Linked DNA regions of Drosophila melanogaster. The protein of the gene in region 2 interacts with the protein of the main gene of each other region in a pairwise test. Each region holds a gene or a part of one and is shown on either strand. Other genes may lie near its edges. The genes, in order: Apc and Kap3.

Region 1 (5,147 bases), on a different chromosome or scaffold from region 2:
ATCCCAGAAGAATTCGCCTATTGTGGCAGGTTCTGTGCATTGCCTGCTCTATCGCTCTGTAACTTAATCATCGGCCAACATTCAGGTGGCGGCAGCCACAATAGCAAATGAGCAGCTAAGTCATTATCATGATTAGCTGGCGCTGCATCTTTTTAGAAAGTTAGCGGCACACGGCGTCGTCTTTGCGGAATTTCCAGTGCATGAAGAAAGATACAGATGCGTTTTCAGCAGATATATTATATTGCCTCGGCTCTCATTGTTGTTGCTACACACACTCCATAAGCACAAGACATATTTCTCATTTGAGCTACCGTTGAATTATGTGCAAATGCAATTTGGTGCTGCACTTCTTTTTTTTCAGCTGTTATTGTAGCGTAAAATTGAGCGTGGACGGACAGAAGTGCATAAATATGTATGTACACAGAGAGAAAATAACGTAACTAACGTAAGGTCACTATTAAGTTATTTACACAACTTTAATCAAGGGTCAAATAAATCCTTGGGGTTCTTAAATCAATCTACAAAGTGTCTTAAAGTATGGCACAATTTATTTACTGCATAATTTTAGATATCGAATGAAAAGGAATATAACAAATGATTTGATACCTTGTATTTTCAAGCATTTTTTCACTGTGTACCCAATCCAATTCAAGACTTCAAGTGGATTGAGTTTGGGATTGGGAATGACCCGGGTCGTGTACCAGTTCTGGCTCCGCACAAGTCGACTTGTTCAAGCTCCAATTGGCAAATTAATCAAATTTTAATTGCGACCAGCGTAAAGAGCGAAAACAGCCGGCGAACGAAAAGTGGTAACCGCAATTTGAGTGGCTGTGAAATGCAAATCGCTTGTGTAACAGCGGAAATGCATCCATCCATCCAAGCCACTCGATTGGAATGCCGCACTGGACACAGTGGCCATCGTTCATCATTGCCGATCGATTGTTTGCCTAGGCCTCAAATATATAAAATATGTGATCAGCCGGCACTATCACCGCCTTGATAAGGCACACAGTTCGGCTCCACCGATTAACATTTAGCAAGAGTCACGATATCAGTGCTCTCGAGGCCAAGAATTCGAAAGACGAACAGAGCAGAGTAGAGCGATTCGATGAATCAACGATCCGCGAATTAGACAAACACAAGTATCTAGATACGACATAGATACTTTTAGTACCCCAAAGAATGCGAGAATATGCGTCACTTGTCTAGCCAAGAGCCGTGTACCCGGTCCCCCAGAGACGACTCCTCGTGTCATTAACCGGCCAGCGAGTCGCACAAGGGAATCAGCCCTGCACAATGGACACAATTCGACTCCAAGCGTTTCGAGTCAACTGTATTGGGAAACTAAATTGGTTCGCATAGTTAGCGAAAACAGAAACAACCCCACGCTTTGAAATAAAATACAAGTGCCATAGTTTAGCGGATAGAAAGTGAATCAGACTGACAAACTTTTAGTCACCCAGTTTCTATTTCTTTCAGAGATAACGAGATTTCAAAAACAAATGTGACTTATTGCTTGAATAACACTTGCTTAGTAAGACTTACTAAGCACTTACTTAAACTGATAGGTGTAAAAGAATAAATAAAAGTGTTTATTTGATAATTGTATATCCAAATATTTGCATAATTAAATGAATTATGAGAATGAACAATTCCATTTTTGGTAATATGCATATAAATTAAGCATTTGTGTAGCATGGGTGGATCAGATTTGGATTTTGAAAGATAAAGCTTCATCACCTTATAGAGGGTAAGGTCTTAAAAGTTATTTTAAACCGACATATGAATACCTAATTTGGAAAGTGTAATTTGTTGTGATAAAATGAATACTAGGTTGAAATATTTGAAAGAGGGAAATATTTTTTTTGGCAGATTGATGATCTGAAGGGTGGTTTTCGTCACACCCTCCCCTAAAAATGGTACAATTACAATTACAATTAGAAGGGAATAGCAAAAATAAAAAATATTTCTCCAATAAGTGAATTCCCATTAAGCTAATAACCAATTTTGCCACCACATCGCCCCATCCCACCCACTGTGCGGTTTTTTGGCTTGGCACACATTTTGCATACGAAATATTCGCGGCAGAATTATCAAAGAAAAAAGAATGGAAGATTTGCGGGGGAAGGAAAAGCGGTAAAGATGATGACACCGCGAGCCATCAAACCACAGGGAAATGTACGCAAAAACATTAAATAATGAAACTACATACTAACTACTGTACATATGTACATATGTATGTACTTATGATTTCTGTGTGTGCATTTATGAGCTGGTTTAATGAACGCCACTTTTGTTTTGCTGCCCGGTTGTTTTGTGTCTTTGCCGCCGCGAGATGATGATTATGTAAATTGTAGAAAAGTAAAAGGGAAACTAAATACGAGCGCATGCAGTGTGGAATTGTGTTTTCCTTTTCTCCCATGTTTGTGGGCATGTAAGACAATCGAGCGTGCCGATATTAACGTATTTTCCTTAATGCGGTGATTAATTATGCTGAGGTGAAGTTGAATGGAAGTGCTCGAAAATAGTTATCAATTAGGCGTGCCACAATCACTTGCAGCTGTTGGAAAACTAAAACGAAAACAACAACAACGAAACAAACGAAACACACTGCGTTTTCCAACTGATAAAGGAGCACTCACACACATAGACACACACATGCACGCACTTTGCACACCCACACTAGGGCGCAGTCGCGTTCTGATTGGGACCTTTATTGATTTTTCCTGTAAAAGGAATCGGCAGGAGAACAGGAAACTACTAAAGAGTATCTCATGCTCCAAGTTGAGCTAAACACATTTGTATTCGCCAGCTGTATATGGTGCGCATTTATTGAGTAAACATTCTGCGTTTTATTGTCAGGCCCAAAAAGAACAATTCCAATTGGAAGAGTCAGCGACTATACTCCCACACACACACGAACCCAGAGATTCTCCGATTGGCGTACCTTGACTAAAAACACAATTTCTCGGCAGCTTCCTCGCCCACCAGATGACACATTTCCCGCTTTATCACTTGTTTGCCCACAGATATTGCCACTATTTGGATTCTTGGCTTGTTTCGCGACAAAACAAATACGCAGCGCGGCCGAAATTCCGAGTCCGCTTATCAACAAAAATTGCGACCAACCGCGGCGAGCAGTGTGACTGTTATATCGAGAATTCGAAAAACCAACAAGAAATAGCTGCTAGGGATGGGAGAATGTAGCGATATCTTGGGATCATATATATCGCTTGAATATTTACTTCGTTCGTAATATATTTATACTGCAATTTATTTTCTAACCTTAAAGATTTAGTGCTTATATTTTATTCATTATATATCTCGGTTAAGTAATACGTACACCGTTAATTTAAAAGAAAAAATTTAAAAAAAAATGGGATAGAGTTAATGGGGCCGAGTCAGACCAACGCTATGGACTGCATATTAAAACGGATTTGGTATTGTTTTGTTTGTTAAATTATTGAATACATTGAATGAATGTGCCTCCAAAACTGTAACTGCGAATTGGTTCGGGTCTTAGCTAGACCATAAATACCGGTGTGACCGTCACCGCTAAAATGAAAATTCCCTCAAAAATGCAATAGTAAATAATCCATCGCTTAGCAACTGGCCACACTGCAACGTATATAAGCCGACGAATCCCGAATTTTGTTGTTGTTCTTCAAACAGCTGAGCGGCGGACGGATATTTGTTGTTGCTGCGCCCGGGAAGCTGCGCAGCGGAGAACGCGAAAAATAATAAAACGCAAAAAATAGCGAAAATTAAACGCGTTGCAAGTGCAGCAGAAAACAACGGTAATAATTCGCGAAGCCAAGGGACAAGCAATTTAAATTGCGCACAGTGTAGAAATCCAATTGGAAGTTCGGCTGGGAGTCCCAAATTCGTATTGATTTTCTTGTTTGTGTGTGCGCGGGTCCGTGAAAAAGGCAACAAAAGCAAAGCCACCACTTCCAGACTTCCCAATCAGCCACTTCCTTTTCTTCCACCTAGCGGTAATCATTGCCAATTGGAACCGCGATCGTTGCCTTCCAGCGACAACAACAATGTAGCAAGTGTATTTTCTGCTTGTAGTTGTAGTTATTAAACAAGATAAAGTGCGAGAAAGAGAAGGAGATAGACAACAACAAAAGCGAAAGTTTTATTGAGTGCGTAGATGTGTACGAGTGTGTATGTGTGCTATTGCGAAAAATTGTTGATAAATATTGGCCGTTATAAATGCGAATTCAAATGCAGATATTTGCCGATGAAAAGGGTGTTTCCTCAAAAAACCGTTGATTAATTATAAATGCAAGGAGTGGCCGGCTAAGTTGGATTTTTTCGGCTTAACTTGCAGCGAAGCAGCAGCGACAAAATGTGGATACCTTCGAACAACAAATACGGAGTTGGTGAGTAAATAATAAGAGTAGGCGGTGTGCCACCCACTTTTCCAAGCTACCCACCACCCCCCGCTGGGCGTCACGTGCGCGGCCTTTGTTTTTATTGCTGCCTTTTGCGGCGATTCACGCGTTTTTCCGCGAAACGCCGGATACCATGCCAACCACCCCCGCACGTTACCGAGCGGGGAGGAAAAGCGACTTTTCTACTTATTTTTGTACACAAACTGTTTGTAGCATCATCATCCCCCAGTTCACCGCACCGCCCCCCCCCCCTTTCCATGCAGCGTGTAGTGTATCTCAAAGAGATTTCCCTGTTTGTTGTTGCTGCCGCTGCGCTGCGATTTGATGTGTTTATACACACAGTTTTCCGCGCGCTCAGTTTTCCCGCACAGCGCTCGGCTGTCGCGTTGCCAATTTCCCCCCAGCCCAGGTGTTGCCAATTTAAATGCTTTCGTAATTACGAACACCTAAAAAAATGTTTATTTCGCAGACAAAATATATATTTGTCCAAGTTCATATGGTTGATTTTGATTTGAAACGTTTCTCTGATTCTGATCTGAAAATAACTACATCTTAATTATATTTCCTAGTATGCTAATATAAAACCTACTCGGTAGATAGAATATAGAAATGGGAAAGAAAAACGCTTCAGTGCACATGGTAAAAACTATTTAAGATCTCAAGAATCGAAACTTGCTTGCTATGGACTTTATTTTTCTCGTTACACATTTTACTTGGAATATGTTGCTGGTTTCTCTTGATATATAT
Region 2 (7,957 bases):
ATTTTCCATATTTATATATGTATATGTATGTCTGTGTCTGATATTTGTGTAAAAATTTGTTAAAACCATAGTCTAAGTGCAAAAACTGCGGCAGATGTGCGAAGCGATCCAAGTCAAATCGAAGTGGAAACGGAACACCAATCAGTGGGAGATGCCGATGCTGAAGCTGAAGTGGAGATATCTAGGTTAAGCTTAACATTGAACGCTAGAAGGCCTCGCCTTACGGATATCCACGATATATATATATATATATATATATATATATAAAGTGAACTAGAGAGCATATTCTTCTATTTATATATACACGTACCATACATACATACCTAGATATATGCATGTTTATCGGATCGGTCTAGCCACTGTCATAAGTATGTTTCGGAAACGAACTGCAACTTAATATTCCTTATTGTGTAACACAAAATTAAAAGCCAATATTATTTCAAATTGTTGCATTTTAATGGCGAGACAAACAGCTCTGCGGAATGGGAAAAGTACTCACCCCTTTTTTTTTTTTTTTTTTGAACAGCCAACAAAACCAAAGAAAACAATACGAACTAGGTGAACATTTACATTAGCTTTGTTTATATTCTTCGGCGTTTCATTATGTCGGCGTTTCATTTGTCGCCCACTGTTTAATATTACAATTTGACTTTTGTTCGTAAGATATTCGAGAAAACGAAAAGTTTAGGTTCGGTAAACTAAAACAAGTACAACTAAAAACGTTCGACGTAATACTTTAAGTGAGAGATTATTGCACAGTAATTGCGTTGCGAACAACCAAAGTGGAAGCTAAGCCATACATCGCACTTAAACAAGACCTCAATAAATTAAATATTAATAAATAACAAACAAAAAAATACCATACCAATAAGTAAGTAACCAAACTTAAACTAACCAGTGTCTGTGCGCCGTTGCTCATTTTGAATGTCTTGAGTACAAAGTTGCCGCGTCGCTAAAATCATTTAACGTCTTTGACTAACAAGCGTGAAAGGTGTCGTATATATGTATACATATATATATATATATAAATATCCAATAAATCCAAGCAGAAGGTCGTTAATAGGCAGAGTGACTAAACATGTACACGGGAGGGCGGGCAATCGGCAGAAGCATCTTAATTCAAATTCAATCGATTCGGGTTAGGACCTTTCTCCTCATTTAAGCCATCAGCAGCTCCTCGTGCAGACCATCGGCATCCAGGGATTTGTTCGACTTGAATATGTAGTTGTTGTCGCTGGAGCCCTGCGACTTGGAACTGGAGGTCATGTTGTACAAATCATCGAGATCCTGGCTGCGGCGATAGCTGTACCATGTGATTTATCACTTAATTACTCGAATCGAAGTGGAAACTTGGTCAAAACTCACGTGCTCAGTGGCCTGCTGTAGGTGGACATGGCCGGGCTGGCCGGATTGTTGTTGCTATGGTTGCTGTTGCTATTGCTGTCATTGTCGGCATTGTCGTTGTAGAGATCGCAATTGTCCAAGTACTCGGAGCGCAGATACGTGTCCAGATCATTGTCGCACTCGTCCTCCTGATCGGCGTAGTCCTGCTCATTGTCCTGGTCCTGCTGCGACTCCACCATGCACAGCCACTGCGAATTGTGGTTGCGGAACTTCTCCAGCTGCCATGTAACAACGAGAACAAGAAAACACAAACAAGTTTGTACTAAGATATGCCATATTTGGACTGGCAAGCAACTCACCTTGATGCGCTTGGCCCACTCGCTGTCGCTTATGGCAATAATGTCCAAGCAATAGTCGCACACCTTGCGGATCTCCTCGTTCTTGTCGTGCATCAGATCGATGAGATAGGCCGCCGATTCCGTCTCTTTGATCATGTACTCCCTGGTGCTTTCGTGTCGCAGGATTTGCTGAAACACAAAGATGATCTGCAGCACAATCTCGTCATCCTCCTGCTTCGCTTTAAGCAACTCGATCAGGGATATAACCACTTTGGCGCGGCAGAAGAGCAGGGCACACAACTCGTCGCAGGCACAGGTGCCCAAGTAAACAATGGTGTCCAGCACAAGGTCGTCCATTCTGGCGCACGGCAGCAGTATCTGTCTAATCCATGGAATCAGTTGGAAGTTCTGCAAGATCTGCGAGTAATCCAAATCGGTGAGGGCCAGGTTACCCAAAATGCCGAGGCACTCGACTATGAAGGCCTCGTCATCGCAGATGGTCAAAATGCGCGCCAGATCTCCCACATAGTCGATGAACTGCAGCTGCAGGGACTCGTGCTGCGACAAGTTGCGCAGCAGCTTCATCAGCAAGGCATCCTGGTACTTGAAGGCCCGATCCATTAGGCTATGCAATCTTTGGCCCTCCACCATAATCTGGGCATTACGGCGATTTAGCGAGAGATTAATGCACAAGGCAATGAGATCCAAATCGACTTTAACATTGAGGTTTAGGATTATGGCATCCGTGGCCATTTGCACGCACTCCGTTTGCGTGAACATGCCCTTCACTTTGTCATCCAAGCTCATGTGGTACAGTATTTTCACAGCAATGCCGTGATGCTTCTCATCGTTGATGAACATCACCAGCATGGGCAGATAGCCGGCGGCGATCATCTTGCGACGCAGTCCGCCGTCGAAGGAGAGATTGAAGACCAGCTTCAAGGTGACCTGCACCAGATCCGTGTGCGTGCTCTGGAACAATCGTGGCAACTTGGCCACAATGTTCAAAGCGCCCATCTCGTCCTTGTTGTCGCCCACAATCGATAGCTTCTTGAGGAACGTGCTGACGAGCATGAGTAGATCGATATTCTGCCTATCCAGCGCCTTGACCAACATCTTAACGATATGCTTGCGGCGCATCTTCTCCTCCAGCTTAACATTCTCGGCCATGTTCAGCAGCAGGTAGAAGGCCACGCGCAACAGTTGCTCCTGCTTTTTGGCAAAGATCTTAAGCTGCTTGTTCAGCCGATCGATCTCCTCCTTCTTCACTTTGGGATCATTCCTGTCCAGCGACTCGTTGCTTTGGGCCTTCTGTTCAGCGGGCACAGCCGGAGTATCGCCGCCAGGTGAACCGCCGGCGCAAAGGGACTCGTGATAGCTGCTATTCAGGATCTGACTCTTGATCAGCGACGATGACATGGAGCCGTGAAAGCTGCTCCAATTGCCCGACTTGGGACGCTGTTTTAGCTCCGGAATGCGACGACGCGGCGGCTCCATCTGAAAGTGAATTTGTTGAGTATTCGATAGATATGTTTTTCAAGAACTTATAGAAATAAAATTACCTCCTTGGGCTTCTCCTCGTTCATGATGTCCAGGAAATCGTCGGTGCTGCGGTTCAGCTTCTCCTTGCTGGCCTTTGCCGAATGTGGAGTGGATGATCCATTGGGCTGTTTGCGCACGTCCAGCTCATTTCTCATTGTCTCGTAGCGACGCAGCTCATAGTCAATCACATCCATGCACAGCGATCCAATCTGAAATAGATTAACAACGATTAAATGAGTGCTTAGAACTTAATTAAGAAACTCTATTCCCACCTTATATTGCACAATGAGCGGATGAAACTTGGTGTATGTGGAAAAGCAGAAGAATATGTAGATTATGTTGGTGGAGAGATCCAGGGATTTGCGCCAGTCCTCGCGCAGAACACGTGACAAGGCGCTGAGGCAGGCTTCTAAAATGATGAAATAGTACATTGGGTTTGGGTTCAAAACTACAGAACTGCAAACTTATCCTTACCATTCTTTTCCAGCTCTTCAAGATTATCGGGATTTCGCGCCATCTGTAGGATCATGGCCGAGCCTCGAATGCGTTCGCCCAGCTCCTCGTACAGCAGCTCCACATACTCATCGATATTGTTTATGGACACATCCGCCGTGGGCGTGGCGGCACTCAGGGCATTCGAGACACCATTGCTAGCTCCAGTGGATCCTCCGCCGCTGCCGGTGCTGCTGGTCATGGCCGCCACACTGCTGTGCGATCGAGCAGAGGAGCGGGTGTGCGAAGTGTGCAGCGCCGCCGATCGCCGGCTGTGAGTGTTGTTATCCGGTATATCTAATGGGTACTGAGTGTTAGTATGGATTTCTGCTAACAATCTAACTGCTTACCATTGCTTGCATTATCCTTGCGATTCTTCAGATAAAAGATTATCTGCTCGACGTCATTAAGCTGGGACTTGTGGATGAGATCGCACTTCTCCACCACTTCTCGTGCCAAGGCAGCCGGATCCGTTTTGGCGTTCAGCGAACGGAGTCGTATGATTTTTTGACAGTGCTGGGCGATTAAATACAATACATGCATTAGTTAACGACTGAAATAATGTACTATTAGGCTAATTGTTTTTGCTGTTATTTTGCTATTTATAAACATAGAGTAATTATTAGGATTGAGGAACTAGTTTAGGACCACTTCAGGGCAATTAACCACTTCGCATCTAAGCTGAAAACTTTTTTGGTCGCCAATATTTATGGCCAAGAGCAAAACATAAGAGACTTACTTATGTAGTACATATTTATGGTCGTGAACAATCGGCGAAAAATAAGCTTGTCGCTCGGCCAAAAAACGTGAATTGAGGTTAAAGACCCGGCCAACCAACCGCTTTTGGGTATCTTTTTTTTTTTGTTGCTGTGGTTTTACATTTTTCACTCACTACTTGGAGCGCAGGCCGTCATCGACCCCGTTGTTGTTGCGCTATCGATTGGGCCGCTCAATGTCAGCTTCTGCCCCCCGCCCCTTAACCCTTTTCGGGGCACACCGGAAGAAACAGAAGTAGCTTTTTTAAGTACTCATTCGGATGTTTTTGTAGAACAATGACTGCTAGTATTTAAACTAATAAGCAATATATGTATGTGTACACATCTAGATCAATTTTTCAACCTATTCGATTAAGGATCAACTTTGTTTCCTTTTTTTTTATGAACCTAACATAGTTAAGAACTAAGTTACAGATGTTCGCATATTGTTGTTATTATATTCTTTCCCTATCAACATCTTTGATACCAATAATGCTGGTCCTATTTTAATTTTCTAATATCTACTAGCATTTTCTCCCAGTGCAGCGATGTGTAACCGTGCGTTCTTACCTTCTTTTCCTCGATCATCGGATTGTTGGGCTCCCCGAAGACGGTGGCCTCCAGTTGGTAGTTGACAATCAGCGCCTTATCCGTGGGATGCGGTTCAATGGATCCGCCTTTCCACCTCCTTCGTTGTTTGTTTGTTTGTTGTTGTCGTTGCATTTGTTTTGGATTGAGAGCGAGACAAATTGTTGGATCAATCATAAATTATGCGGTTCAATGCGTAATGAGGTAATAGATTTTTCAATCCAATTCTTTTTTTGAGCCTGGCTTAACTTGTGCTTTTGTTTTAATAAAACGAACAAAAAAGTTAAGAACCCAACGAATAACGAATAACGATTAACGGTTGCAAATAACAAAAAACAAAAGGAGGAAGCGTGAACGCAAAGTGGAAAATCAATAGAGAGCGCCAGGTGATTGTGGCTCTCTTTCTGACGCATGACGAGTGCTTTAGCTATTTCTTTTGTTCTTCGGCCACTTGTACACCCACACATGAAAACAAACAAACACACACACGCACGCACGCACGATCTAATCCCATACATACGCACTTTTTTATAAACTTGGCGTCATCGTTTGTTTGCATTGCAGTTGTTGTTGCTGCTGCTGTCGGAGAGCGACTAGAATTTGTCAAATTGTTTATGGAAAGCACAGGCTCCTCTTCGGTGGGTGGCGGATGCGGGGGGTGGCGGTTTTGGTGGCGCGGAGTGGGGCTCCTTTGCAGCTGCTGCTCTCTTTGCGCTCTCTTCTGCTCGCACAGATCGCCGGCAATCGCATTTATTATGTAATAGACGTAGTGAATCACAATTGGCAGCAGCACCAGGCCCGAGATTATTTGGAAAATTAATAACAAAACAAATTGCATGCGATTGCAATGCGACTTCCGATTTAATGTCGATAAGTGCTAGTGCTGGCACAACTGTCTGCTCACTGGCGGTACTATCGATGGTGCCACGGCACCCGGCAATTACCGATAGCACTCAATCGATACAAACCAATAAGCGAATGTTCAAATTCAAGTTGGCGGTTGTATTCTAATTGGGAACTTGCCATTCATAATATGCAGTATACTAACAACTTTGTTTTTCCTCGAACTTCCTTGACCGGCTAGAAACAGGTGTGATTAGCCAAGAGAGCATCACTGTTCTGTTCTGGGTGCCAAGAACCAAAGTCTGGCAACGACTGCAGCCAGAACAGCTGGGCCGGCGTTGCCAGGTGCAAAGAACGTAGATGAGCAACAGAAAAGCAAACGAAATGGAATGAAGGAACAACAATAAAAGAATCGCTACTTTGTAGTATTATTAACCAAAAAAAAGCGCGGCGCGATCACAATGTTTCTGACTGCGAACGGTGTCGGTTGTCTCTACTGCGTGTGAGCCGAGTGGAGCGCAGCGCCGCGAATTGTTTACATTGTGCTAGGAAAATCACAACAAACAAACCAGCAAACAGTCTCGACTGACAATAACAATAACAATAGCAAATAACATGCAAATAAAATGCATTTCAAGCCGCGCAAATACTAAATACTGATTCAAATGAAACGCACTATACGATGACCATTTAAAAGAATCGCCAAGCAGGAGGAAGCGAAAAGAATTCGAAAAGCGCAAAGCGAGCCGAAGAAAGTGTACAAAATCAGGCCAAACCGATTTGTTTTTTTTTTTTTTTTTTTTGTTCTGTCGTATTTTCCCTTCTTTTTTCTACCGTTTTTTTTTGTGTTTTTGTTGTGGTGGGCGGTCGCTTCTCTTTTCGCGCAAGAACAACAAATGAGGTGGAGCAGCGCCTGACAATGGAATTTCTGGAGAACCTGTACAAAACGCTGCACTCCCTGTTGTGTGAGTAATATCGAATATTTGGCGCCCGATAAGGCGCACCGCTGACCTATGTACATACATACATACATAACAAATGCCCCTCCACCAACTGCATACCTTGTGATTCTAGCCTCCTACATCGATCTGGACTATTCGCTATGGCTATATCGCTTCCTCACCCCCCTGATTGTCACCTTTCTGCTGCCGCTGGTCTTCGTGGCCCTCATCTACATTTCGTTCCTGGTGCTATTCATCTACAAGCTGCACAGGTAAGCGAAATGGAAATGTTGGAAAGCTGCGTATAAGTTGGGTGGGAAATTGGAATTACAACAATTACAGTGTGCTTCGCGGGCTCAATTGCAACTGTTAATGAACTCTCTCATGCTGATCGCGCACTTTTGGAGCCAAGTTTCCCCCACTCACCCTTACCACGCACCCCTTCCCCCTTTGGCCGGCGTCTTCCGTCCCGCTCTGCACCTGTAATTAAAAGGGAACATAAAAAGAGATGGCGTTGTAAGGAAGGGGCGTAGAGTGGGAGAGAGTTGGGCAGCCAGTGTTGCCAACAAAAAAAGCTAGATAAAACAAAGCACGGGAATACAGTGGACACTCTATAAGGCAAACAGAAAACGTAATATAGTCCAATAAACTTAGTTTTCACTGTTTTTAAGGGAACTTATGATGCAGCTGTTTCCCAAAACGCTGAAATTAACATTTTGACAAACCGTGAATATGTGTTGAATCATCGAAATTATGGGCATTAAAAAAAGTGCTCAGCAATAATTGATCGTTTTCTGCAAATTAAGTAAATTAATACGATAAGCATAATCTACATGTGTTTCTAGCTCGAAAAAGTTTTTGAAACTAAAGCAATTACTTGAGTTCTTAGATTTCAGTTGTAAAAACTGCTGTTATCGATCTAAAAAAAAGGATTGATATGTGTACCAGATAGTAATATATTTGAATTATATTCATCTAGATAGTATATATAGTTGGAATATAGCCAAGTTGGGCTGCACTGACTACACTGACCCCTGAAGAACATTACACCCTCGACCATTGCACCGATACTGAAAATGAAAAGCCAAGTCGAACGGCAGGTGATCGACTCGGC

Evidence for each region.
Region 1: the proteins of Kap3 (region 2) and Apc interact in a two-hybrid assay, tested with the Drosophila melanogaster proteins (one study listed by BioGRID).

The regions. Positions count from the first base shown.
Region 1 is NT_033777.3:28,841,613-28,846,759, forward strand, and holds the start of Apc (APC-like), read right to left. Parts: upstream 3,137-5,147; 5' UTR 2,948-3,136; intron 672-2,947; exon of another isoform or gene 607-671; intron 1-606. Other genes in the region: spg (sponge), read left to right, coding at 4,355-4,388.
Region 2 is NC_004354.4:11,333,631-11,341,587, forward strand, and holds Kap3 (kinesin associated protein 3), read right to left. Parts: upstream 5,959-7,957; 5' UTR 5,898-5,958; coding exon 5,584-5,897; intron 5,195-5,583; coding exon of another isoform or gene 5,160-5,194; coding exon 5,042-5,159; intron 4,233-5,041; coding exon 4,067-4,232; intron 4,014-4,066; coding exon 3,699-4,013; intron 3,634-3,698; coding exon 3,497-3,633; intron 3,434-3,496; coding exon 3,245-3,433; intron 3,180-3,244; coding exon 1,704-3,179; intron 1,623-1,703; coding exon 1,366-1,622; intron 1,304-1,365; coding exon 1,159-1,303; 3' UTR 557-1,158; downstream 1-556. Other genes in the region: CG34348 (uncharacterized protein), read left to right, coding at 6,822-6,867, 6,977-7,115.